7 linked regions of the Cricetulus griseus genome follow. The protein of the gene in region 7 purifies or fractionates together with the protein of the main gene of each other region. This does not show direct contact. Links are inferred from orthologs where the notes say so. Each region holds a gene or a part of one and is shown on either strand. Other genes may lie near its edges. The genes, in order: Rpl14, Wwp1, Patj, Amotl1, Gsk3b, Amotl2 and Yap1.

Evidence for each region.
Region 1: the proteins of Yap1 (region 7) and Rpl14 purify together in Homo sapiens (affinity purification with mass spectrometry, with the first as the bait; 3 studies listed by BioGRID). This does not show direct contact. The link is inferred for Cricetulus griseus from reciprocal best matches to the Homo sapiens genes YAP1 and RPL14.
Region 2: the proteins of Yap1 (region 7) and Wwp1 purify together in Homo sapiens (affinity purification with mass spectrometry; 3 studies listed by BioGRID, with this or other methods). This does not show direct contact. The link is inferred for Cricetulus griseus from reciprocal best matches to the Homo sapiens genes YAP1 and WWP1.
Region 3: the proteins of Yap1 (region 7) and Patj purify together in Homo sapiens (affinity purification with mass spectrometry; 7 studies listed by BioGRID and IntAct, with this or other methods). This does not show direct contact. The link is inferred for Cricetulus griseus from reciprocal best matches to the Homo sapiens genes YAP1 and PATJ.
Region 4: the proteins of Yap1 (region 7) and Amotl1 purify together in Homo sapiens (affinity purification with mass spectrometry; 8 studies listed by BioGRID and IntAct, with this or other methods). This does not show direct contact. The link is inferred for Cricetulus griseus from reciprocal best matches to the Homo sapiens genes YAP1 and AMOTL1.
Region 5: the proteins of Yap1 (region 7) and Gsk3b purify together in Homo sapiens (affinity purification with western blotting; 3 studies listed by BioGRID and IntAct, with this or other methods). This does not show direct contact. The link is inferred for Cricetulus griseus from reciprocal best matches to the Homo sapiens genes YAP1 and GSK3B.
Region 6: the proteins of Yap1 (region 7) and Amotl2 purify together in Homo sapiens (affinity purification with mass spectrometry; 10 studies listed by BioGRID and IntAct, with this or other methods). This does not show direct contact. The link is inferred for Cricetulus griseus from reciprocal best matches to the Homo sapiens genes YAP1 and AMOTL2.

What each region holds. Positions count from the first base shown.
Region 1 is NC_048597.1:227,644,496-227,648,793, reverse strand, and holds the start of Rpl14 (60S ribosomal protein L14), read right to left. Parts: upstream 2,801-4,298; 5' UTR 2,666-2,800; coding exon 2,663-2,665; intron 1,961-2,662; coding exon 1,859-1,960; intron 1,359-1,858; coding exon 1,264-1,358; intron 224-1,263; coding exon 124-223; intron 34-123; coding exon 1-33.
Region 2 is NC_048595.1:132,994,643-132,998,724, forward strand, and holds the start of Wwp1 (NEDD4-like E3 ubiquitin-protein ligase WWP1), read right to left. Parts: upstream 2,801-4,082; 5' UTR 2,664-2,800; intron 1-2,663. UniProt on the Homo sapiens protein: E3 ubiquitin-protein ligase which accepts ubiquitin from an E2 ubiquitin-conjugating enzyme in the form of a thioester and then directly transfers the ubiquitin to targeted substrates.
Region 3 is NC_048595.1:51,075,105-51,078,604, forward strand, and holds part of Patj (inaD-like protein), read right to left. Parts: intron 3,138-3,500; exon of another isoform or gene 3,133-3,137; intron 3,099-3,132; coding exon 2,959-3,098; intron 1,428-2,958; coding exon 1,232-1,427; intron 1-1,231.
Region 4 is NC_048597.1:128,045,216-128,048,715, forward strand, and holds part of Amotl1 (angiomotin-like protein 1), read right to left. Parts: intron 1,441-3,500; coding exon 1,165-1,440; intron 499-1,164; coding exon 392-498; 3' UTR 1-391. UniProt on the Homo sapiens protein: Inhibits the Wnt/beta-catenin signaling pathway, probably by recruiting CTNNB1 to recycling endosomes and hence preventing its translocation to the nucleus.
Region 5 is NC_048597.1:51,920,621-51,924,120, reverse strand, and holds part of Gsk3b (glycogen synthase kinase-3 beta), read left to right. Parts: intron 1-1,350; coding exon 1,351-1,457; intron 1,458-3,500. UniProt on the Homo sapiens protein: Constitutively active protein kinase that acts as a negative regulator in the hormonal control of glucose homeostasis, Wnt signaling and regulation of transcription factors and microtubules, by phosphorylating and inactivating glycogen synthase (GYS1 or GYS2), EIF2B, CTNNB1/beta-catenin, APC, AXIN1, DPYSL2/CRMP2, JUN, NFATC1/NFATC, MAPT/TAU and MACF1.
Region 6 is NC_048597.1:210,972,776-210,975,973, reverse strand, and holds the end of Amotl2 (angiomotin-like protein 2), read right to left. Parts: intron 3,141-3,198; coding exon 2,967-3,140; intron 2,266-2,966; coding exon 2,207-2,265; 3' UTR 501-2,206; downstream 1-500. UniProt on the Homo sapiens protein: Regulates the translocation of phosphorylated SRC to peripheral cell-matrix adhesion sites. Required for proper architecture of actin filaments.
Region 7 is NC_048597.1:122,312,175-122,315,674, reverse strand, and holds part of Yap1 (transcriptional coactivator YAP1), read left to right. Parts: intron 1-2,369; coding exon 2,370-2,500; intron 2,501-3,500. UniProt on the Homo sapiens protein: Transcriptional regulator with dual roles as a coactivator and corepressor. Critical downstream regulatory target in the Hippo signaling pathway, crucial for organ size control and tumor suppression by restricting proliferation and promoting apoptosis.

The sequences.
Region 1 (4,298 bases), about 110 Mb from region 7:
TTTGAAACGATCAAAATCTGTCATCTTGGCTTTCTGTTAAAAGAAAACAAAATGATCTCTCCTGTTGTTTGTCAGCACACACCCCCTCCCCACCCTCCAGAGCTCAAGGCTTCACGCCATTACCCTTTCTCGGGCATCAATCTTCTTGGCCCATCTTGTGGCCGACCATTTCGTATTGATATCTGCTTTCTCCCAAGCTTTCCGTACATATTTCTGGCGGGCACTATGTACATGAAGAGCAAGACCGTGGATTAATGAATCAGCTTCAGTTGTCTTCATAAAACATAGGCTAGACAATGCCCCCCCCCAGGGAATTCCAAAGACTGGAAAAATCACCTGTCTGAACACACATACTACTTACATAGTGCATGTGCATAAAACCATGTCCTTTTGTAATTAATAAAAGCCACTCCTTACACCAGTGTATACTTTGTTCATTAACTTGGCCAAGTTTCTTACCCACCCAAAACTTCCTTACTGCTTGCTATGAACCCTCAATACTCACCTGTAATCACTCCGTAACTACTGCCACCCCTGAACCACACTGTCTCTCAAAACATGCTGGCTGCCTCAGCACACCCAACATTGCTGACTTGACAACCACACTGCAAGGCAGGGCAGGCGTTCTAATTTGCATTTGTTCTGTGGCTTTACTTCCATAAGCTGGAAACAGGCTTTTTTATGTTGAATACTTTGTAACCACAACCATAGTCGCTTTAAAGGAAGGCATGGTAACTCCTTAAAACACACTAACTCCATCACCAAGGTAGGCCAAGACAAGAAGGAACCTATCTCAACACCAAAAGCACACAACTTAGAAACAAACCACCACAGGCCATCCTGGCCACTGCTCCATGGTGCTTGCCAACACAATGAAGCCACAAGCACAATTCTGCTCTAGCAACAACGGTAGCAACGCACCAAAGCCACTCTGGGAACGAGCCGAGTTTCTCATTGAAAACAAAACAGAGGAGCTAGGGGGTGGTGGTCGTGCCTTTTAGTTCCAGCACTCAGGAGTCAGAGGCCAGCCAGGTCTACAAAGCTATACAGAGAAACCCTGTCTCGAAAAAACAGTGGTAAGGGAAAGAGACCAAATATGGACAACTTTCATGACGGTAAAATGACTGGGCGACCCTAACTAATTAAGGTCCGTTTGCTGACATTCTGGGTTGGCTCTGAACCCTCTGTATTGGCAGAATATTCTAAAGGGGAAAAGCAGACAGTGGCACCAAATTGGAAGGCAGCTAACAGGGAGTGAGTTACCTGTGTGGGAACTTGAGGATGAAGTCAGTAAGCTGCATGCACTTAAAAGGCATGGCCTGTCTCCTCACCCGAGTGCAAGGTCCATCGACTAAAGCCTAGAATACAAAAACGGGGATCTCAGATGGGAACCTGGTCAAGATGCCCGAAAACAATAAAATCTCTTGACCTTTCCAAGACTGGGTATCCATGACTATTCAAATAAAGCCAACAGCGTCCTGTGAGCTCCATGGCCCAAGTCGGGGGCAAACTCCTAGTTCTCCTACCTCCTCGTCCCAGAGAGCTGATGACAGGCGTCACCACACCCAACTTCAGGGTCTTGAGCAAAATCTACCTCCAGCTGCTCTGAATTCCTTTTATCGTTACCTTTTTTGAACTCCCCTGCATTTTTGACCCCAACTGAAACATCTGCCTAGTGTACTTCCTGAGGGAATCTATGAAGAGCGAACTCTCCTCTGCACTTCAGACTCCGTGTCTAGCGTTCCCTCCAAGGGAAAGCTGTAACCTACAGAACCCCACCCGAGGGCCATCTACGGTGTCGTCAAAACTCACAGCCACGTTAAATGAGAGGCTGTGGGCCGCTTCCTCTTATACGTACTCTGTTCTGATCGATTACATCTACAATCGCGACCAGCTTGCCAGCATGAGGCCCAAAGGAGACGTAGGCCACCCGGCCAACCTCCACGAAGCGCCTGAACACCTGAAACAGATAAGGAAACGGGGGTTGGTCTTTTCTTTTTTTTTTTTTCCTTGATTTTCCGAGACAGGGTTTCTCTGTGGTTTAGGAGGCTGTCCTGGAACTCGCTCTGTAGACCGGGCTAGCCTCGAACTCACAGAGATCCGCCTGCCTCTGCCTCCGAGTGCTGGGATTAAAGGTGTGCGCCACCACTGCCCGACTTCAGGGGGTTGGCTTTAACTGTTCCAAGTCCGCTGCTTACCGGCTGTAACACAAGGGCTCAGAGCCGCTCACGGGCCGGATGTGCCGTTGGAAACCGGCGCTCTGCTTGGCTTAAAATGTCCCGCGGCCGCTGTCCCGGGGTGGCCGGGTCCCGGGGTTTGCTCTTACCCATCCTCCAAACCCTCCCGATCGGCTCGGACCCCCTCCCGGCGTAGGAAAGGACGACTGGAGGGGCCCGCGAGCTCGCCCACCCGCCTGCTCGCCAGCAGCAGCGCCGCCACCGCGCTCCCCGCCAGTGCGCACGCGTGGCCCAGGCTCGCCCGGCCGGGCCTCCACGCAACCGGGAGCCGCGCTCCCCCGGGGCTGGATTTTCCACGCTCCGCCGCCTGCCCCCGCGCGGCCCGGGTCGCGCAGAGTCACCCCACGCCGGGGCTGGCCCGCCCGGGGCGGAGGGCGAGCGCCCCGACCGCCGCGCTCTCGGAGCCCTGGGCAAGACACACTCACCATGTCGGCGGCGCTCAGCGAGAAGGAAGAAGGCCCGCCCGGCCGTGCGCATGTGCCGGCGGAAGCTCCGCCCCGACGTCCAGCGTGCCCGCCGATTGGTCGAACGCGGCCGTGCGTGCGTTGGCGCGTGCTCGGTGGCTGAAGTCATGGCGGCGGGGCCTCCTCCGGGCGGCGTCTTCTCGGACACGTGCTGGAAGAAGTTGGCGTCCTCGTTTCTCCGCTGCTGTTGCTGGGGTTTGGGTAGCGACAAGGTGTTCGTCCAAGCCCGGCCTCCCGGACGCTGGCACGACCGGACGGGGACGGGAAACCCGAGTCCCCTGCCAGCCGGGAACACGCAGCGAGACCCCGTTCCCCGGTCTTAGCACGTCACGCTTCCCCCACAGATCCTGGGCTGGATCGTTTGGGAAGAAATCTCCCATTCTTTCATGCATCCATTCTTTCATGCATTCGTTCATGCTCGTGTGCGGGCCTGTGTGCAGTGGCCGCGTCGGTCCTTCCTCATTCTTTTGTTGTTTTGGTTAGGATTTCTTGTTTTTGAAACAGGGTCTCTCTATGTAACCCTGGCTGTCCTAGAACTAGGTAGACCAGGCTGGCCTCCTCCCAAGTGCTGGGATTAAAGGCGTGGCCCACCATGCCCAACCCTTTTTATTTTCTGCCAGCACAAGACTGGGCACTATGGAGACCCAGAAGCAAGAGAATGGATAACTTTTGGTGGCTTGCAACAACAAAGTCTCTGAGACTTTGGAATAGTTTGGGTGAAATTCACACAACCCTGAGTGTAGTAAACAGATACAAAAAAAAGTATATATATATATATATATATATATATATATATTGTATTTTTTTATTTTACATAAAATTCACAACCAGCAAACCCCTTAATGTCAGAGAAGTATAGATTGTAGCTCTGAGAGGTGTCTCAGTGGATAAAGCACTTAGCGACGGGTCAGAAGTTCAACTCTCTTAACACCCACATGAATGTACAATGGGTGTAGTGGCCTGCCTTGCAATCCCAGCCCTCAGGAGTCTGAGGCAGTCGGGTCCCAGGGGCTCACTGAACAAAGAACCTGGCCTACTTTGGTGACCTCCAGGTCCCACAGTAGACCTTGTCTCAAAAACAAAGTTGGAAAGCAATGACGATGCCTGAAGTTAGCTACTGGCTTTACAGCGGTGCAGGCACAGCTGAACGTGCGGGTGCACACGTGGGAACAGGCAAAGCAAAACAACAAAAACTAGAACCCATCTTCCTTTTCCTTGGCGCACACCACAGTTGCTGGAGGGGCAGCAAGCTTTCTGAGTTCTGGTCATGCTGTCCCTTCATCCCGCCAGTATGATACAAGAGTGTTTACTTTTTGCAGACAAAGATCTCCCTGTCGCAGCTGTGCCCTTTTTTCCCCTAAGTGTGTATTAACTTAAAAAAAAATTAAAGACAAAGAAAACCCCTTTTTCTTGATGAGAGTTCCCTGGCTCTAACATAACCAGAGAATTGAACCCAGGTCAGGGAGGGAGGACTGAGATGGTTTAACATCCAGTGGTCTAGTGAGTACACTTTGGGGAAGTCCTCTGGTTTACAGGACTTTGCCATGACGATGCAGCCAGATTATGTCACCAGCTGCCATCCGGCAGTGTTGTCTTT
Region 2 (4,082 bases), on a different chromosome or scaffold from region 7:
TTTAGTTTCAAATAGGATTATTAATCCCCAAAGGAGTCTGAACCTTATGCACCAGTACTAAGGATAACACATCTGTGCTACCACTTATCTCTCTAAAGACCTGAATCAGAACCTTCATTTTAACTGTCTTAAAAAGTTACTTTAGCTGAGCGTATTGGTGCACACCTTTAATGCCAGCACTCAGGAAGCAGAGGCAGGCAGATCTCTGTGAGTTCAGTGACAGCCTTGTCTACAGGAGTGAGTTCCAGGACAGCCAGAGCTACATAGCAAAACTCTGCCTTTTGTGTAGGGAAGAAGATGCTGTGCTTTTGTCACTGTGTAGGTATGAAGATTGGAGAACAACTTTTGGGAGTAGATTGCCTTACTATTACCCAAATTAGGTCATCAGGCTTGACAGAAAGTCCTTTACCCACTGAGTCATGTTGCCAATTATTTAACTGTCTTCATTCACCTGATCACCAAATTCTATCCTCCTTTCTCTGTCCTTTCCATGTGTTCAGACCCTTGCTACCCATGACGATGGAAATCTTGAGGTTTATGAATCTTCAGGTTCTTCCTCCCTCAATTCATACTACACAATTAATTCTTCTAAAGAAGGTTTAAATTGTTTCACTCCCCACCCCAAAATCATGTGGACTCCTGACTGCCTACTAACCTAGTCATTAGTCTGACATTAACCATACTCTTAAGTTCAAAGTGGTGGCACACCCCTTTCCAGGGCTCTGAAAGCAGAGGGAGTTGGATCTCTATGAGTTCAAGACCAACCTGGTCTACACAGCAAGCAAGTTCCAGGCCAGTCATGGCTACATAGCAAAGCCTTGTCAAAAAACAAACAAACAAAGAAACAACTAGAGAAAACAAAAAATAAGTTTTGTTACTGGTCTAGGTTTTTTATTTCAAGCTTTCTTACCCTATATCCTAAGTAAAGATCATTTAGGTTTCATCCAAATCCTCTTAGATCCTTCTTGAATTACCGTTCCCTGTTTATGAAAAATCAAGTCACCCTTCAACCCAGCAACTTCAAAACGAGAAGCCCCTAACTCATTTCTGAACTTGAATTGAGAGAATGTTTATATTTATGAAACACACACAGACACACACAGACAGACAGACAGATAGACACACACACACACATACAAACACACACACACACACACACACACACACACACACACACACACAAAAGTATTCTGGGCATGGGGGCATAGGCCTGTGAGCTCAGGTCTGAGGCAGAAAGATGGCAAGTTCAAGGCCAAATCCGGCTACATAATGAGATCCTGCCATTTCACACATACATAAAAGGAGCATTTGTGTGTAAATATAACATGCATACCTTCCTTCCCTAGGCTGTAAAGACAGAAGCTGCTAATCATTACATCCATATATACCCCAAAATAACCTCACACTGTCACACAGTTAATGCTTAATAACTGTGCAAGGATGTAAAAGAAATTTCAGGCAACTGAGGAGATTACATCTCTTTGAAGGCAAGAGACCTGACCAGCCATATCCTGGGTTTCAAAAGCACAGTGTCTTAAAAGCAGCTTTATATGTTATGTGAAGAACTATTTGAAAATGTTAATAATCTATGTCTCAAAGAACTAAGCCACATTCTTTACACATCTCAATTTCAACAGCTCCCAACACCTGGCACTATACTTTGAATTTTAAATGTTAACTAGTTATTAAAAAGTGGTAATTTTCAGTCAAAGTATATTGCTTCATGGCTAAAGCAAGCCAGATAAATCAAAGAATGTCTTTTTTAAAAAGGTGAGTGTTACTAACAGTTACAAACACTTGACATGGTGAGACATGTCAAGTGGATTTGTACACAAGCATAAACGTACAGAATCCTACAGACAACTGTGAAAGGGGTATTTCATGAGAAAACAGAAACAAAAACAACAACAAAAAAAACACCATATTTTTTGCAGCATTTTAAGAATAGAAATTCAATCTTACTACACACAAAAAGATAAAAATCTAATAGAAAAAAACCCGGACAGCTATGAATTATTTCATTGTGGAAGAGTAAAATATTTCAAAACTGTAATAGATACACCTTCCTTTTGGTAATAAAGGTTTCTTATGACCGCTTAAAGCAGAGGAACTTCAACTCCAAACCGATGAGTAAAGGGAAGGGACACACAGTCTTTAAGCACACAAAACTGATCATTTAAAGACTGAAAGGGCGATGGGCAAAGTACCAATCCTAACAAACACTTCAATTTTAAAAGAAGATTTAAAGAAAAGGGCCGAAATCACAAGATGAGGATTAGAAAAATTTTGCAAGGTCACTTGAACCTACCAGGTCACCAAAGGTAGCAACTGGGGGTGCTGGTGGGACGAGATGCGGAGTCAGAGAGAAAGCCTGAATGCTAAAAACATGTCAGAATAGGATGTTCTGAGGCTGGCGTCCCGGCTCGCGCCGGTGGGATCCGGGTGAAAGTCAGGGCAGCAGTTCTGAGGCAGGGAAGCAGGAACGCCAGCGAGCCGCCGGCTAGGCGGCTGAGCACTGCAGTCACCGAGACACTTCGCCTGGCTCCGGTGTCACCCGCACAGGCCGGTGCCAGGGCCAGCCCGGGGCAAGCCCGGCGACCCCACCCCAGCGAACTCCGGCCCGGCCGCCCTCCAGGCTCCCTCCTGCGTCCCACCGTGCTTACCCGCGCGAAGCTGTGGCTCCCGGGGCCCGCGGCCACCGCGGCGGCGCCTCCTCAGCCCTCCGCGCCCAAGATCGCCATCTCGCAGCAGGCGTCGGCCGGGCAGCCCAGGCCGCCCGCAGCCACCCGGATCCCGCACGCCAAGCGCGCCGACACCCGGCCCTCCCCCCACCCCACCCCGGCCCACACCTCCCTTTCTCGGGAACGCGCAGCGTAGTCGCGACGCCGGTGCCGCGCACAGGCGCGCCTCCCCGCCGGGGCCGCTCCGAGCCTCTAGTCCAGACTCGGAATCCAGCTGCCCTCGGGCATGCGCAGCGAGCGCCCGCCGAGCCCTCCTGAGGACTAGTCCGCTCCTCCGGGTCTTCGCGACGGTCGAGCGGAGACTCAAGCCAACCAATAAGAGGGAAGGGGCGGGTCCCGAGCCGGAAAGGGGGCGGGGCGGCCCCCCGGGAAGCCGGTGGTGGCTTTGGAAGCTGGAAGCTTACAGCTTACCTGGCCTGTTCAGTCAGCTGCAGAGCCTCGTGCACAACCTCAGGGAAGATCCTGCGGTCACTCATGTGCTTACTCCGGCACTTCACAGCTAAAGTAGGATGTGAGTGAACACTCCTTGACCTCGCTTAACATTTGATTTAGGGTCCATTAGCAAATGGTTGAAAAGACTTGCATTTGTGCTGGAAATCAAATTGTTCCCTTCCCCCTTGGCAGCATGCTGGCCCAGTAACAAAGCTGCTGATGATTGAGCCAAGTCAAGTATCCGTGTCCCTGTAGCTAATCCGCACAGCAATCCTGAAAGGTAGCTTCTCTTGACTCCATTACACAATGAGTCAACTGGTTAGAAAAAGCTCTGTTGGTAATTTACGTTGCTCTTGCGAGAAAGGTCACACTGCAGATGCAAGTCAGTGCTGACTACTTACCATATGGCCTACTAGTCTACTTCAGAAAGAGATCAGAGTTCTTCAGCATTGTACAGTTAGCCAAACAACTCACCTAGGCCCTACAAATTACTTACACCCACCCCGAGCTTACTAATTCACTTGTTTTAAAGATTCAGAAATCCTGGCTTCGCCTCAAAGACCTCTCCACTGTTGTCTGTGATACTTTAGAATACCTTCAAATGCCCCAGAGGTAACAACTTCTCAACATAATCACCTTTTAAGACTTCTGCCCCAAATTTTTTGTGGACCTTAAACCACCTTTCTGATTCACTCTTGGTTGTCGTTGTACTTGTACGTTTTGAGAGAACAGAATATCAAGAACACTAAGAATTCATGAGTATTTGTAGGACTCAGTGAATACCTTTTGAATGAACAAATGTACATTGGCTTCTACTCCGGTACATTAGTTACTGCCCCCAACCTCACATAGAAGTTCAGTGCATCTGCACATGATGCACAAAAATTACTCAAAAATGTACATGGCAAT
Region 3 (3,500 bases), on a different chromosome or scaffold from region 7:
AGAGCCCCACTCATAAGGGTATTATAATTTAATAGAAAACATAAGCATAAATAACCAAAATACACAGATCATACCACACTAACTCAAAAAGGACAAGAAACGTTTCCCAATCTGTGCCCACAACCTAGCACAGGGTGCACAGGGAGCCAATGAATATACATTTGCTGAAAGACTAGCACAATGTTACAAAGATTTCAGGGAGCTGGGGCAAGGGAAGGCTCATAGAAAGTAAATACCAATGAAGAATCATGCATTTTTAATTGACATCTGTTTTTCTTTTTAAACTTTTTTGAAAAAGTGTCTACAATGACTTTATAAAATCAATAATCTAGTAATAAACTTCCACTATAATTCACAAATATGAGATACTTAAAATAAATATTCACATCTTCCTTAAGACAGTCAAAAGTAAGCTTCTAATAAAAACCTGAGTCTCATAGATACAGTGGCACACAGCCATAATTCTAGCACTCAGGAGGCTGAAGGCTGAACCAAGGGAATTGTAAATTCAAAGCCATCCTGGGCTACATAGCAGGTTTCCCTCTCCCCCTACACACACATTAATTCACTATGACATCAAAGATCACAAGACATCTTATCACCAAATAAGTTAAAAATAATATTTAATTTGGTCTTTATATTAAATAATAATCTTAATAAAGTAACCAACCAGATATTAAAAAGACAAAAATAAATCAAATTCCTCTGCCGGGTGGTGGTGGCACATGCCCTTAATACCAGCACTTGGGAGGCAGAGGCAGGCAGATCTCTGTGAGTTCGAGACCAGCCTGATCTACAAGAGCTAGTTCCAGGACAGCCTCCAGAGCTACAGAGAAACCCTGTCTCAAAAAAACAAAAAACAAAAAACAAAACAAAACAAAAAGAAAAGAAAAACTATCCAGTAAACATCTCATAATGTTGCCATAAAGAGATATGATCACCTTTCTTGACCTAGAATAATGGAAAGGACTTCCAAAGACTACCAACTAATCTTTTTTGGTGTTTGATTGTTTGTTTGTTTGTTTGTTTGAGACAGGATTTCTCTGTATAACAGCCCTGGCTGTCCTAGAACTCAATCTGTAGACTAGGCTGGCCTTGAACTCACAGACATTCATCTGTCTCTTCCTCCCAGTACTGAGATTAAAGGTGTGTGCCACCATCACCCGGCCCAACTATTCTTATAGTGAATAACATAATTTAGAATGAATATGTTCCCAAGTTTATAACCTACCGTTTCAAGCAAAGAGGTATCAGCTGAGCTGGTAGAAGTACGGCCCTGTGTGTGGCCCACTTCCCTGGCCACAACCAGACGAAGAGACCCAGTGGCTTGTTGTAGTAATGCAATCGCCTGCTGATGGGAAATATTCTGATCCAATGGGGTGTCATTAATGGCCAAAATCTGGTCATTTTCCTTCAATCTTTGATCCCTGGTCATACAAGAAAAGCAGACTGTATTTTAGGTACTGACAACCTGAACATGCACACAGAGCTGGCTCTGGCATTGTTCTACGAATCAGGAACTCCATTAGTACCATATGCTTCTTACACCATCTTATCTCATGTTAATACTGTTGTTTTACACAACACTGAAACTTGAAAAATTAAATCACTTGAGCAAGACTGCACAGGTGGAGAGAAAGAGCAACATCCAGCCTCAAACTACAATACTTCCTTAACTAATGAACCTGTAAAAATAGACTCTGCCCCAGGTAACATGTCTCAGAGGGGCTGATATGACTTTTGTTACATGTATTCAATTTCGGTTTCACATGAGGAAACATTTTAGATGACAAGATGTCAACAGGGTATTTAGAAAGTTTTCTGCTATGGTTTCAATGTCCATGCCTCTGAACTCCTGTGGAAATTTTAATTTCTACTGTAAAGTATCAAGACATGAGACTTCTAAGGGATGATCAGGGACTATCCACTCATGTACAAGACTGGTGTATACACAAAAGTTAAGTTTAGTTCCTTATTGCCCTGCTTCCTATTGCCTTCCACCACGTGATGAAACAGCAAGAAGCCCAAGCCAGTCGTAAAACCCTAACATGAAATTCTCAGTTCCAGAGCAGTAAGCCAATAAATCTCTGTTCATCACAAGTTCTAAAACCTCAGGCATTCTGTTATACCAAAATGAACTTAGACTGAATCTCACAATCATCTTTTAAAGGAACTGAGAAGTAAATGCTGAATTTAGGGACACATCTGTGCACTGACAGAGGCTCGCTGACAACACAGTAGAAGGTCAAGCTGCAAGGAAGACTCACTCTCATATCATAGAGAAGAGCATCATGAATCATACCATCAAATACAGAGTCAGGAAGAATAACCAATATATTATACCAGCACTTCCCACAATGTCCAGAACTTTACAGATAGATGCTGTTTTAAAAAAGCAAGTTGTTGCCAGAAGATGAAAGAAGAAGTTGGGAGTGACTAACAACATATACAACAGGGTGGGAGCTCCTTTTCTAGTTGATGAAATTTCTAGAATTTTTACTATTTCTAGAATATGGAAATGATCGTAAAACACTGAGTATTATATTAAACATCACTTCAAAATGGTAAGGTTTATACTACTCATACTATAACTCAGTACATCTATTATTTTAAACTTTGAGTTAAAGAGACTAGAAATAATCATCTATAATCAGAGAAAATGAATGTGAAAAACTTATTGACAGAATTTTGTAATCAGACCCTGCCACTACTGCTATCTTCTACCAGGAACATCTGAAACCAAAGACTAGAAATCACAGAGACAAAGACCTTGTACAGAACTCTCCAAACATAACAGTAGGTACATGTGGAGATGGCGGGGTTAAGGAACCTCTAGAGTGCTAACCAGCACTAGGTCCTATTGTTACTATTGTTATTGTTAGTTTCTTACTCTCTTTATAACAACATTTTCAGAGCTGTCAGAAAAACATGAACCAAGTACAAAATGAACTTTCTCACCTGTCTGCTACACTCCCTGGATGGACTTCCTTCACAAAGATGTCAATTAATCCCAGGCTTTGGCTTCTCAGGGCCACCACACTGAACCCAAGGCCTCCAGTAGAAGGACGTTCTATATCTATATATTCAACATGCCGGCCCTAATGAAGGGGGGAGTCAGAAAGAAAAAGAAACATGGTGTACATTTAAATATCACCTTTCCACAGAACCAAACCTGCTCAGCACACAGCAACCTCTCCGAGGTTATCGCTGTCAGTCTAAGCATGCTCAGTGTTCTGGTAATATGCTGGTTCTAGAAACCTTTTACAGAAACAGCATTGAGAAGCATTTTACAACTCATCCACATTTACGAGACAGATTCTGGGCTGGACAAAAGCTGAAAACAAACACCCTTCCCTACAGTAAACTCTCAATTACTTTGTACATAAATTTCTTTAAATTCTCTTGATGCAAAACACTTTTTAAAAGGGAAAGTAAATCAGTTATGCCAGAAGCATGCTTATGTTCAGCCCAGTTCAACCAGCAGCATTTATATTAGTTTT
Region 4 (3,500 bases), about 5.7 Mb from region 7:
GATGGCACAGAAATACTATATTATGCCAAGATAGGTTTTGAGGATTTCTAGCAGATTCTTCTTAAACCAAACCTGCTAAGAGGCAAAGGGAATGGGGTGATTCCAAGGAAGGCCCAGCTCTTCTTCATCTGTTTATAAACCAAGAATAGGGGAAGTATGGGGCCTCCCCAGACATACTATTTCTCTACAATGGACAATCCCTCCTATTCTCAACTCTGCTTCCAAGTCTGTATACATCTTCTCTCCCTCCCTCTGCAGTCCTGTGAGCCGGCTGTTTTGGTAACATTATGAAGCGTCCACACCTGCTCTGGCTTTGTAGTTGCTACCATCTAGACCTTCTTCCAACCCCTTTTCTTGTCAGCATGTTGGTGTGAAAATCCACAGGACGAGGCTAGATGAGCACTTCCATCATCTCCCCATCCGGGAACTCGGGCTTGTGCAACAAGCTGCTCACGCGGCTTCTGTGGTCTGCCGACTTCCCATGACCAGGAGAGTTCTCTGCCAAACAGAGGGCAAACATCAGCAACCTTGTGCCTGGGTTTTCCATGCACTCTCTATCATAGAAGCATTTTTAATGTCCTGGCCTGCCCAAGAGTCTCATGCATCTTGGTGTGCTCATGGGAGCCTGAGAATATCGCAGTGGGAGATGTAGAGGGACTGGTGGGTGGCTCTCAGAGAAGACAGTGTCTTAGGGTTCTAGACTGAGTAAAAATTAAAAAAGGAGAAAGCTGACAAAGACCCAAATTCCTGTCTCCTGTCTGCCTAGATGTGAATGAGCAGGCTCACACTTCACAGTCCTACCATGCTGTATCTACCATGATGGACTGTCCCCTCAAACCATGAGCCCACAGTAAATCCCTCCTCAGTTACTTCTACCAAGTGTTTGTTCTACCTCCCCCTAGGGAAGGGTAGAACACACATGTCACCAAGTCACTCGGGCTGGGTGCTCCCCTTCTTCAATAATGAATTAAGCTTATCTGGCCACACTTTAGTCCCATGGCAACAAAGAGCACCCCCAGTCTGAAAGTAACTGTGATGATCACTACTGAAACACAGGAACAGACTGGGCTTCCTGATCTCTCTACAGCTCTGCACTAGATTCCCCGCCTCAAGTCACACAGTCTCATGGGGTCTCCAAGCATGGTAGACGTAGGGGCCACATACCCAGTTTCTCCATGGTCCCTTTGGCAGCTGGATGTTTCAGAATGGGGCTGTTGGATGGGGCAGTGCTCAGCCTGCCTCTGCTGGAGAGGGAAGCCATGCTGGGCCAGAAGAGCTCAGTGCTCTTGTCCGTCTGTGTGCTGCTGTCCTTGCTGCCTGTCTTGGCATGGGTGCTGCTGGCCAACGTGGTGGAAGCAGGAGGGGACAGTGCAGAGGCAGGTGTGGTTGGCAGCAGAGGGGCAGATGCCTGTCCCTGATGCTCCTTCCCCAGCAGGAACCCTGAAGGGAAAAAGAAGTGGCTTTTCAAGGAAACTTATCTTTTTCTTTCTGGACTGGAGATGACTTCATTTATTCGATGATTTATTCACTAAACCCTAAATAAGCACTTGGGTGCATGCCTGATGAAGTGAGAAACAGTCCTACATTATGTCCTGAGTCCCATGCAATTAAATTCTTTACAGACTTGGTATTTGTATTCTAAATTCAAACAACTGAAAACCACAGTTGGACTGTTGGGGTAGTTCAGAAGGTAAAAAGACCCTTGCCAACCCGAATGCCATCTCATCACTGCCCAGACTCAGACACAGTGATCTGCAGTTGAGATGAATAAATCTCTCTCCTGGGAGCTGCTCAACATTAGGAAGGTGGATACTGCTATCTCCATCACCTCTTCAAGTCCGTCATGCACAAGATGGAAAAACCTGAGGTCCTGTGTAGGAGCCTGTGAAGTTAAACTCCACCCAAACCTCGGAGCTTCCCCCCAACCCCTGTTTCTGTGACTGACATGTGGGCACTAATTACACTGACAAGGAGGTACACTGGTGCACACAACATGGCCAGTCTTCCTTAGGCCAGGGTGTCCAACTCTCAGGCCTTATGCTGACCTGGTAACATTGAGACATAAGCCCAGGCACCGACAATGTGTACCTGGGTGAATGCCACACAGATTTCTCTTAGGGACGTCTCCATAAGAACTGAACAATTTCAGACTCCTGAGACAGACCCACTTCTTTTTTTTTTTTTTTTTTTTTTTTTATTAGTTCTAGTTAGGGAACAAGCTTATTTCAAGTCCCTTCTCCCTCTCCCTCCCCTCACCCCCAAACTTTCTCCCCCACCCCCAGCCCATCCCCCCAACCCCATCCACCCACTACTCCCCAGGCAGGGTAGGGCCCTCAACGGGAGCTCAGCAAAGTCCACCAAGTCTTCCTATGCTGATCCTGGGCCCTTCCCCATGTGTCCAGGGCCAGAGTGTAACCCTTCATATGGGATGGGCTCTCAAAGTCCCTTCTTGCACCAGGGAAAAATACTAATCCACTACCAGAGGCTCCCTGGAGTGCAGAGGCCTCCTTATTGACATCCATGTTCTGGGGGACAGACCCACTTCTTACTGGGTTAGGAGCTAAGTGTCCCTGGGATGGCCTTTATCATAATTGCTGTCCCCATGAATCCTCTAGGATGAGCTGAGGTTATAGAGGCCACCTGTAGAGGAACTTCAAACAGACGTGCTGTTTGAGGCTTTGACCCCCCCCCCCCGCCGCCCCAGCCCTGTGGATTCATATGGAAGCTCTCATACACTGCAGGACAAATCAGCACATGAGAAAACTGACTCTTGGCAGAGCAGAGAAATGATGTGCCGAGCCAGAGACAGATGTCAAAGAAAGGCCAGCCTCCTGGAGTCACAGCAAGCAGAGGAAGGGAGAGAAGACTTGGAAGCTTCCTCTCCAAGCTCACTGGCCCAGCCTGTCTACCCTAGGGTACCACTCAGCTAAGACGCACTCCTGGATAATTCTCAACATCCTGCCTATAAAATACAGGAAGGCTCCTGTCCCTGATGGAGATTCTCTGGGCACACTTTCCCCATTATTTGCTTGAGCTTTTTAACGTCCCACAGGTGTAGACACACTGTGGAGCAGTTGCAGACATGGCCCACAATGGAGTGGTATTCTGAGGGTGTGGTAGTTTGAATGTATTTGGTCCTCATAATCTCAGGGAATGGCACTATTAGGAGATGTGGCTTTGTTGGAATGGGTGTGGCCTTGTTGAAGGAAGTGTGTCCCTGTGGGGTGGGCTTTGAGATTTCTTATACTCAGGAATCTGCTCAGTGCCTCAGTCAACTTCCTATTGCCTGCAAGATGTAGCCCTCTCAGGTCCAGCCCATCTGCCTGCATGCCACCATGCATGCTGATAATGGACTGAACCTGAAACTGTAAGTGAGCCACCCTTATAAGAACTGCCTTGGTCAGTCATGCTGTCTCTTCACAGCAATAGAAACCTAACTAAGACAGAGGGGCTCTAGGTTTGTCCTCCTAAGACATTTCATGTTCTTCCTGTCAATAATA
Region 5 (3,500 bases), about 70 Mb from region 7:
GCTGTTTGTTTGTTTGTCTGGGAGCTGAACTTTAAATGTCACATCCTAGGCAGCTGCTTTATCAAGGAGCTATATCCCAAGCCCCCAAAATGCACTTCTGAAGATAGAAAAGTCCATTATTAGTTATACTGAAAGCTAAGTGTCTTGATTTTCTGATAGCCTGAAAATATTATGGTTGTTTAATAACCATTAATGTGGGCCCTAGAAGGTTAAATTGTGAAACTGCTAATGAAGGGAAAACAAGTTAAGTTTAGCATCATCATTGACTAAAAGTAAATTGAGGGGAAGGAAGCCTAGACTTTAAGGTTGAAAGGTCATTTTCCCCTGGCTGTGTCTTTGCCTTCCTGTGCCCTTCCTTACCTCAGATGTTTTCTGTTGTGATTTTGTTGCCTGTATTTATCTCCTGTGTCTGTGACGCTGCTGTCAGTGCATCTCCCAGTGTGGCTTGCTGATTTGAAATGAGTTATCTGAGAGACATTTGAGAGATGCTAACTGTAATTCACTTTAATGTTTTAAGTGTATATACTGTAAAATACTTCAGGAGCAAAGCTGCAATAATATGTAAACAGCATAGCAGGGATGGAATGGATAGGTTCTGAGTCACTTTCCCCCTCAAGTTGAATGCCTTTTTGCAGTTTGTTTAGAAACAGGTGGTTAGATAGCAAACTGACTAAAATATCAAATCATGCATAGGTTGGTTGTGTAAGCCTTGAGCTGGCCATCCTGAGTCAGAAGTCAAATATAAAACAGTCGGCAGTTATTACCCTTTTTAAAAAAGTGTGTTGGTGAGGAGTATTGATATATTCATTTATTCTGATCCACTGTCATTCTTTTGCTGGGGAAGGCTCCTTTTAAATTTCTTGCCCCTTATCTTTATATATTTAATTATTTACTATTTTTTGGGACAGGGTCTTCCTGTGTAGCCCTGGCTGACCTTATAAGTCTCACTGCAAACTGGGTTGGCCTCCATCTCACAGAGACTCAACTATCTCTGTCTCCTGAGGGTTGGGATTAAAGGTGTTGCATCGCCATGCCTTGCAACCATTTTTACATTTCAGAAGTAGAATTTAGGAAACATGGAACCAGAAGAAACTGAACATGTGTATCCTTTTGAACTTTTAATCTCTTTGTTCCTTAGGTAACACTTGACAAATGCTTACTTTAAAAATCACTGTTTCTTATATCAATTTGATGAAATTGTGTATTTCTTTCATTGAAAACAGTTGCAAGTGTGTTGCATTATTGCAGTCTTGTGAGGTTGAGACAAATATGGTGTGTGAATATGAGTATTTGTTTCTTTAAGGTATGGATTTAAAGATTGCTTTTTTTTATTTTTATTTTTTTCATTAGTGCAAAGCAGCTGGTCCGAGGAGAACCCAATGTTTCCTATATCTGTTCTCGGTACTATAGGGCACCAGAGTTGATCTTTGGAGCCACTGATTATACCTCTAGCATAGGTAAGTACTGACTCTGAATACAGTTTATAACTGTTAATTGCACCCTGATTCTTACAGTTTCTCTGACATGAAAAGGGCATGGCTGCAATATATTTTTGCAGAAATGTATACAACTAAATTTTTTTAACCTTTTAGAATTTTATGTATATCTTTCCATTATGCTTTTTTAGCATTAGAATTTTAAAAGTATTTGCATTATAGTTAGCTAATGTATTTGTTTGATCTTAAAGTTTGAAGTAAAGTGTAAATACTGTAACTCTTCAGGTAAGTGTTTTAAAAATATTAATGAGGCAGGGATCAATGACAGGAAGAAATATGCTATATGCAGCTTGCATGTAGCCGTCAGAGGACAATTTTTGGGGTCTGTTCCCTCCTTTTACCCTTATATAGGTTCTCTGGATCAAACTCAGGTCATCAGGCTTGCACTGCAAGAATTTTTATCTACTGAGCTATCTGTGGGTCCTGTATTAGTTTTCTAGTTCTCCTGAAATATTTACTTCTGAGCCTGATACCTAGTTAGAATATTGGTTAATTAATAATGTTACTTTTAAAATGTTAATACTGTAATTGATAGGGCAATAATATTTTTGAATTCCTACCATAATACATCACTTTAGGTTAACTTAATTCATTAGTTGTTCAGCTAAACTTGCTGGTTTAAAAATTTCAGTGGAGGGAGATGTCTAATGATAGAAGGATTCAAGACAGTTGAAATCCTCATTGCCTTTGTGTTGTTCTAGTACAGTTGCTGTGTCAGCACAAAGACCATGACTCGCTGAATCTGAATGGCAAGACAAAACCAGCATTGATAGGCTAGATGAAAAAGGACAAAATTATTTTATTTCATACATTAATTGTGTGAGGGTGGGGAGCTGAGGCTGACATCAGGTGTCCTCTATCTGAGCTGTGAAATGAAGATCATTTCTAATTCTGCCTGCTTTTCATGGTTGCTGGAGGAGTAAAATAAAATGTTAATGAGCCAGTATAAGAATGGAAGGTAACAGACTTTCTTAGTATATTTATTAGCTCAGTGGTCCCCAAGAGCAAATTTTAACTCTTTGTCCTTGGGAATGTTATCGGATATCTAATGATTAGTGTCTTAGTCAAATGTTTGATATTGGTTATCTATGCTCTCTCTCTCTCTCTCTCTCTCTCTCTCTGTGTGTGTGTGTGTGTGTGCGTGCGTGCGTGCGTGCGTGCGTGCGTGCGTATGTATGTATGTATGTATGTATGTATAAGATACTGGACTGAATTATACTAGGCTCACCTAAAATAGTTACAACCAAATTCCTGACACATTATAGAATGTTTGTGTGAGCCAGGGCTTTTGGGACCCTAACAAACATGGATTTGATCCATTTTCAGATCTAAGATTCTTGCTTCTTAAATTTTTAAAAATTTATGTGTATAAGTGTTTTGCCTGCATGTATACCACATATATAAACACATATGCCTGCATTTATGTATGCATACCACTTGAATACTCAGTGCCTGTGGAGGTCAAAAGAGGATGTTGAATCTCTGAGAACTGGAGTTATGGATGGCTGTGAGCCATCATGTGGATGTTGGGAATCTAACTAGGTTCTCTGCAAGAGTAGCAAGTGCTCTTAATGGATGAGCCATCTCTCCAGCCCTGACTAGGTTCTCTGCAAGAGTAGCAAGTGCTCTTAATGGATGAGCCATCTCTCCAGCCCTGACCTTGCTTCCTAAGGCTGTGTAAGATTGATACAGTCCCGCACACAGGAAGAGGTGGACAGATCTCTTGTGAATTCTAACCAACCTAGGGCTACATAATGAGTCTGTCTGTCTCTCTCTCTCTTTCTCTGCAATTCTTTCCCCCACACACACATACACAAAATAGATTTGTAAAAGGTGAATACTTATAAAAATACTTATTTGTTAAAAAATAAAAAGGGTTCAAACATATGAATAGATTTTTTTTTAATTAACATTACTTGGAATGAAACCATCACTGATTCTGACTAAATTATTGCCATATTTGGATATAACCAATACTATGTAATCAAAATAAAATACAAATTT
Region 6 (3,198 bases), about 89 Mb from region 7:
ACTCTGGAATACACACTTCATGTGTCCAATCACAGGGTTCACATGGCACCTGGATCCTTTAGCAAAGAGGTTGTGTGCTAGTGAGAGGACAGAGTAGGTAATGTTTCAACACTCCTACTACAACAACCAAAATCAAAATTGGTTAGGACAGTTACCTGGAAAGGCAGCCAGCTGCCCCACCCTGTCTACCCTTCTCATAGATGGTGTCTGTGAAAGTGCACATGTGTGGAAATGGGGACAGCTATGCCATTTCAAGTGTCCTTCAGGCCACTTCACAAAATATCCTTGAAGAGAGTGGACATGGGTGACCCTTTAAAACATTCATCTTCTTTCCTTTCCTTATCCTTGCAAATAACCAGTCTTGTAGCTGTGGGTCACACACACCTGTAAAGACACCAGTAGGGAGGCCAAGGCAGGAGAATTTCTAGTTTGAGGCAAACTTAGACTCAGATCCATACAGTGTCTCAACCAATAAACAAATGAATAAATATATAAACATCTCTCCTTGTAAGTTTTTTTTATTAAAATACTGTCATACCCAGTGGAATGCAACAGCAATCCTGGTACAGGGTGGCGTAACAAAACAGCCATGTTTACACTTTAAATATTCATGATAACTTAAACACACAGACACACGTCATGGTCTTTGGCAGAAAATGTTCACAGCAACAAAAAATACTTTAAAGAAATACCAAATATTAATCCAAAATATATTAAGTTGTTTTTTTTTTCTTTCACAATTTTTTTTTGCCTTTTTTCCCTCCTTTTTTTTTTTTTACTTTTATCTTTGTAAACAATGCACATGAACCAGATGTATTTTTTTAGCTTTACACAGGGGTAGGGGAATTAAAAAAATATGCAATTGCCCAGCAAATGCAAATGTTTAAAAAGGAAACTCAGAGAACCATGGGAATAAAACAACAAACAGAACTTGAAAACAGTGAAAGAAAAACAAACAAAACAACCAAAGATTCAAGGAGAAAACACAAAAGCTCTGAAACCCACCAATCGCTTTTTGAGCTGAATGGGGGTTACTTTAAGACCAAAGTCAAAGTCACTGCTGCTGGTAGGCTGCCAGTTGGGGATACTTCACCCAATTCCAAGTAGTTGGCCCTGCTTCAGGGCTGGGGCACCAGAAATTGAGGAGCCAGCCTCGTGGGTGCCGTTTTTGTGACGGGGCACCACAGTGAGGACTTTTGTCTTTTTAAGCTCACTGATCCATTTTTCAACAGCATAGCTTCCTCTCCCAGTCCCTGCCGGTGGGAACTAACACACTTATGAGAACAACCTCTCCAGTTTCTTCAAAGAGAACCTGGTGCTGGGCATGAAAGATGTCCACATGTGGCGGCTCATTGCATCTGGCTCAGTTTATAACCAAACGGACAGGATGTCCCAGGGACAGGAGCTGTGGAGCCATTCAGAAAGGCTGGTGACAAGAGTCCCATGGGCACTGAACACAGGGGTTTAAAATGGAGAAAGGGCAACCAGTATCAAATTCCATAGCCAAGTACTGGAGGCGGAAGAACATCTGGTGGACCCATCAGATGTTTCAAGAACCGTGGCAGCGGGGGCAGGCAGCACAGCCCTGGAAGGAGACTCTGAACCAGCATGCTTAGTCTTCTGTTCCCAAGGAAGGAGAATTATATACAAAACACACTGTTCCGCAGGCCTCTCAAATGGCCTCTAACCTTCTCCAAGTGAGAGGCATGCTGGTGGTTCCCAAAAGACTCACACTCCCAATAGTCCCAGTCTTAGTGATCTGAAGAAGGCAGTGAGGAAGTGAAGAGCAGATGGGATTGGCTGGGGCCTCGATTAACCACAGAACACCATGGCTGGCCTGGTTATTCCAGCAGACCACCAGATCGGTGCTCAGCCATCCTTGGGAATCAGAATCCACTTCCCTTTCCCTTCATGCCTGAATACAAATGGGCAGGACAGAGGGGGCTCAGCTCCTTTCTCCTCCAGCAACAGACCTTGGGCAGCAGGGGAAATCTGGCTCTTCCCTCCTCATGAGCATGGGAGGAATATGGGCCAAGAAGCAGTCTTCTGGGGCTGCAGACTTTTCTAGGTCCCCTCTAGGGTTCCTCTCTGAGCTTCATGCACCACACTATCAATGGTTGGAGAAAGTGAGGCGCAGCATTTGACGACCGCTGGAATGCCAGGGGGAAGCCAGGCGTCAGGGTCCCCAAGGCACCACCTCTTTCCTTCAGATCAGTATTTCCACCATGTCTGACAGGTCCTGGACTCTGGTAGTAGCCACAGAGTCTGGAGAAAGACAAGACAACAGGTCTATGCTGTGAGTGTTATCCACTTGTTCTATTCAGCTCAACACATTTTAAGTAAGAAAGGATCTTTCTTCATCAGATTCCCTCCCCTAATCTGTCCCAGTCCTCAGATTCCTCTTAACTTGGTCAACTAAGCCCAATGCTCTGCTCCCTCCCGTCGGCTGGGGCCTAGATGGCTCAGGAAGTATGCCTGTGTTTAGACTCTGAACTGGCTAGAGTGATCAGTGGAGGGGTGCCCCCAGGGTTAGAAGCAGGCTGTAGCATTCTTGTCATGCCTGTGGTTTTCTGAGATCATGAGGCGCACACAGGCAGCTATGCAAGGGTAAATGTGAGATCAGACTAGAAGGAAAAAAGGCTTCTTCTCAAGTTCCTCTTTTCTGGGCTCTTCCAATAGCTTCCCAACTCAAGATCACCATCAGGGTCACTTGTCAAGCTCCATGATCTTAGAAATCTGGACCAGCAGGATATGTGAGGAAAACTCTGGAGGAGGCACAGTGCCTTCTGATGAGGCGCTTTCTTTCTCAACTATAGGTCTGCCTCCCATTGAGGGTTTCATGCCTCCAACAACCCTTGGTTCATACCATGGGGCTTCCCATGGAGGATGAGTTTGGAGAAAACACGTGTTCCAGTTCAGCCCCCATCTAATATACGGGTCAGGGGAAGTGGGGGCAGGGTGCTTACCCAGAGAGGCTGTCCTTTGGCTGCTACACCCCAGGAGGCTCTCGGGTTCTGAGGCTAAGCAGGCAGAGGTGCTGTCTGCAGGGCCATCAGTCTGAGTGCTTCCATCTCTGCTCCCGTGCTTGGTGTGGGTAGGGAGAGGAGCTGTGGCCGGGGGCTCCTCTGCCGGTACACGGTCTGTAGGAAAGAAAGGAGGGTGATGGATACAACAGGATATAGAAGACAATGTCCCCGA
Region 7 (3,500 bases):
CTGCGTAAGAAAGACAGACACAAACACACACACAGGTACAGGGCCCAGACACAACTGAAGACCTTTCGCTTGTAACGATTCCAATATGGACACTTGTGTGTCCCCCCCTTCCCTGCCCCTGCCACCTTGCAGCAATTTCAGCTTAAAAGATGGGATCATTTGAGCTCCAGACACCCAGCTCCAAGTTGAAATTTGCTGGGTGGAAAAACTGTATGTCAGAACCTGAAAGGTCCTTGTGTATATTTCATTAACTAGTCATGGATTCCAGCTTATAAGAAGGACAGAAGAAGCCAGGCGACCAGAGTAGGAAGAGTCTGGAGTATGAAGTGTAGTGGGAGAAGAGGTCATCCAAGAGTGGGGGGGCACCCATCATTACAGTCACTTCCCACCAAATGGCTAGCATATCAAACAGCGGGCTTCATTATGACTTTCATATGTGTATGTTATGTGCTTTCCTCATATTTCACAACGGGAGAAACCATATGATACCTGGTTTGTGGGTTTCTTTTGTTTTGTTTTTGTTTTTTTCAGTTCTTTTTTTGCTTGTTTCACTATATTGACCTCCATTTTCATGTGTTTCCTTCGTGGCTGAATAAAAGCCATTGTGCGTATATATCACGTTTTCTTTATCTACCTACACATCTGGCTTACTGGGTCTCCACTTCTGCCTCTGCTGTTGTGAATAACCCAGCATAAACATAGATGTGCAAGTGTCTCTAGGAATTCAATCCCTCTGTTTCCCCAGGGTGATGCAGCTGGTCTGATGGTCCTTCTGTTTTTAATGTCTATGTTGTGCTGATTTCCATTGTGGCTGTACTAATTTACATACCCTCCAGCATCATGTAAGGTTTCCTTTCTTCCCTACCTCAGCATGTTTGTTTTCTTGATAGTCATTTGAACGAGTTGTGGGTTGTTTTGTTTTCCCTTTTAGTTTTTCAAGACAGGGTTTCTCTGTGTAACAGCCCTGGCTGTCCTGGAACTAGCTCTGTAGACCAGGGTAGTCTTGAACTCACTGAGATCTGCCTGCCTCTGCCTCCCAAGTGCTGGGATTAAAAGCCTATGCTACCCAGCTTTGAACTAGTTTTGATCTGCATTTCCTTGGTGGCTAAGGAATGGAGGTTTTATTAATAATGCTTATCAATAGTAAAGGAGAATTTATTGCATAGCTTGTCATAATATATAAAGGATCTGTAATAATGAATATAAATAGTACTTATGAAGTAATAATATATTATGGAAATGTCTGAGTTATGGAAATACTGATGAAAAATCAGACCCACAATGAATACTGTTATTGTCCATTCATAATTAAAGAAAATGTAAAATTTGCATTCATATTTGCCAAAAATTTAAGGTAATCTTTCCCTTCCACGTTGTCACACAAGTTCAAAAACCTGAATCTTCAGGCACCTCTAGTTATGGAGCTCCAGTTTAAACAAGGAAATGAACAGAGGGTATAAATAAGCCTGGATTAAAAAAAAAAAAAAAAAAGTGGGTTTACAGAGAGGAGAAATCGTGGAAGTGGCTGTGGAGAGAACGGTTTTTCTGGCCCTGGACACTGCAGGGATGACGTGGGTGGGAGGAGCTGGAGGAAGGGTGTGCCTTAAAGGCAATTGCAGAGGGGCCTGGCAGTGTCCTTTGTGATGCCCAGAGAAGGCCATATTGCAAGTCAGCTAACAAGTAGGCAGAGGGAGCCTGTGCTCAAGCAAGGGTGGTGGTTGCACAGGAGACATAGGGGCAGAGTAGTGACGGCGTCAGTGAGAGACCCTGGCCGAAAACTCTGAAACATCTCCTGGCCAGATGCCCAGGTGGGATTCTCCTGAGTACTGTTGGAGCCCTGTAAACATGTCTCCCCAGAGGAGAGGACACGGCTCTGTCCAGCTTGGGGGAGGGGGTCCCTGAAGTCAAGGAGGCTTGATGGCAGGGTATAAACACTGCTGGGGCTGAGGGGAGGGTTGTGTCTGGCAACAAGTCATCAAATGTTCTTTCTGTTCTGTTTTTACTGCTGGCCCAAACCATTGAGAGCTGGTAAGTAATGACAAAATCTAAGAAGAATTGTCTAAAGCCAGGAAGGGTTTGGGGGTCTTTTCCAATAAAGAGAAATGAAATGTTAATGTTAATTATGCATGTTTGGGGATTAGTACAAGTAGGCAAACTGACATGTCTGCAGCTTAGTTTCTTTCTAGTCATTTGAAGTATATAGAAGAATTTGGTTATTCTGATTAAGAAACATGTTAGCTTTAAGGAAAACATTAATATTGTAATACACTACACCCCCCTTTTCATTGTGACACTTTATCTCTTTTAATCTAACAATAAATTTGTTAATCAGCAGACTGATCCTCTCTACATTTGTTTATTTGTTTAAGGAATTAGCTCTCCGAAGCCAGTTGCCCACACTGGAGCAGGACGGAGGAACTCAGAATGCTGTGTCTTCCCCCGGGATGTCTCAGGAATTGAGGACAATGACAACCAATAGTTCAGATCCCTTTCTTAACAGGTTAGTAAGAATGCTGGCCAGGACCTGGAGGATTGTCGCTGGCGTCATTGCTCTGTTTTGTGCTTGTCTGGCTGTTTTGAACGTCTATGTGAGCCATAACCCATAGCTGTCAGCCATCTCCACAAATGCCAAGTGCAGTCAGAGCTGAGGGTTGAAGGGGCCGAATCCTGGACAAGAAGACGAACTGTTCAGGCTTGTGGAAGGGATGTGGGTCAAAGCCCCAACATGCTTGCATCTGCCTACACTCTATGCTAACATTGCTTAAAATGGCAGTCTTCAAGAAACACGTGAGTGCCTTCCCCATGAAAGGCATGGACAGCATCTTATCCCCTGAGCTGGAACTTTCCACATGGCTAGCTATTCATGTAAAGCCTCATCTCATACTCTTTAAGGCTCTCATGTAAGGAGGTAAAATATACAAGGCTGTGTCCCACCCAAAACCATAAACTTTGGTGGCATTATTTTAAGCAATACAGCTTACAGGCACCTCGTAATAAGTGAGTTCACAGTCCTTGGGGTCTGGACTTCAAGTGGATGATACACAAATCACTGTGTTGAGAACTGTTTTTTATTTGCAAACCATTTTAATTAATATTTAAAACCTACCCTGCTGTTTTAATTTTGCTTTTTAAGAGAAATTAGAATACTCTCTGGGCTAGACTCCCTCCTCCCATAATGCTTTTAAGCAACAAATTTTTCCTTCCTCCTCCCCTTTTTTTTCCTCTTCTGTTTTGAGTCAGGATCTCTTTGTAGCCCACATCAGTGATCCTCCTACCTCAGCCTTCAAAGTGGTAAGATTTACAAGATGGAGCCATCATGCCAGCTTGCAACACACTTGTAAAATTGGTTTAGGGAGCCTGGCAATGGTGGTGCATGCTTTTAATCCCAACAGAGACAGAAGGATCTCTGAGTTTGAGGTCAGCCTGATCTACAGAGCTAGTTCCAGGACAGCCAGGGTTGTAACACCCAGAAATCCTATCTCAAAGAAACAAATACAAAA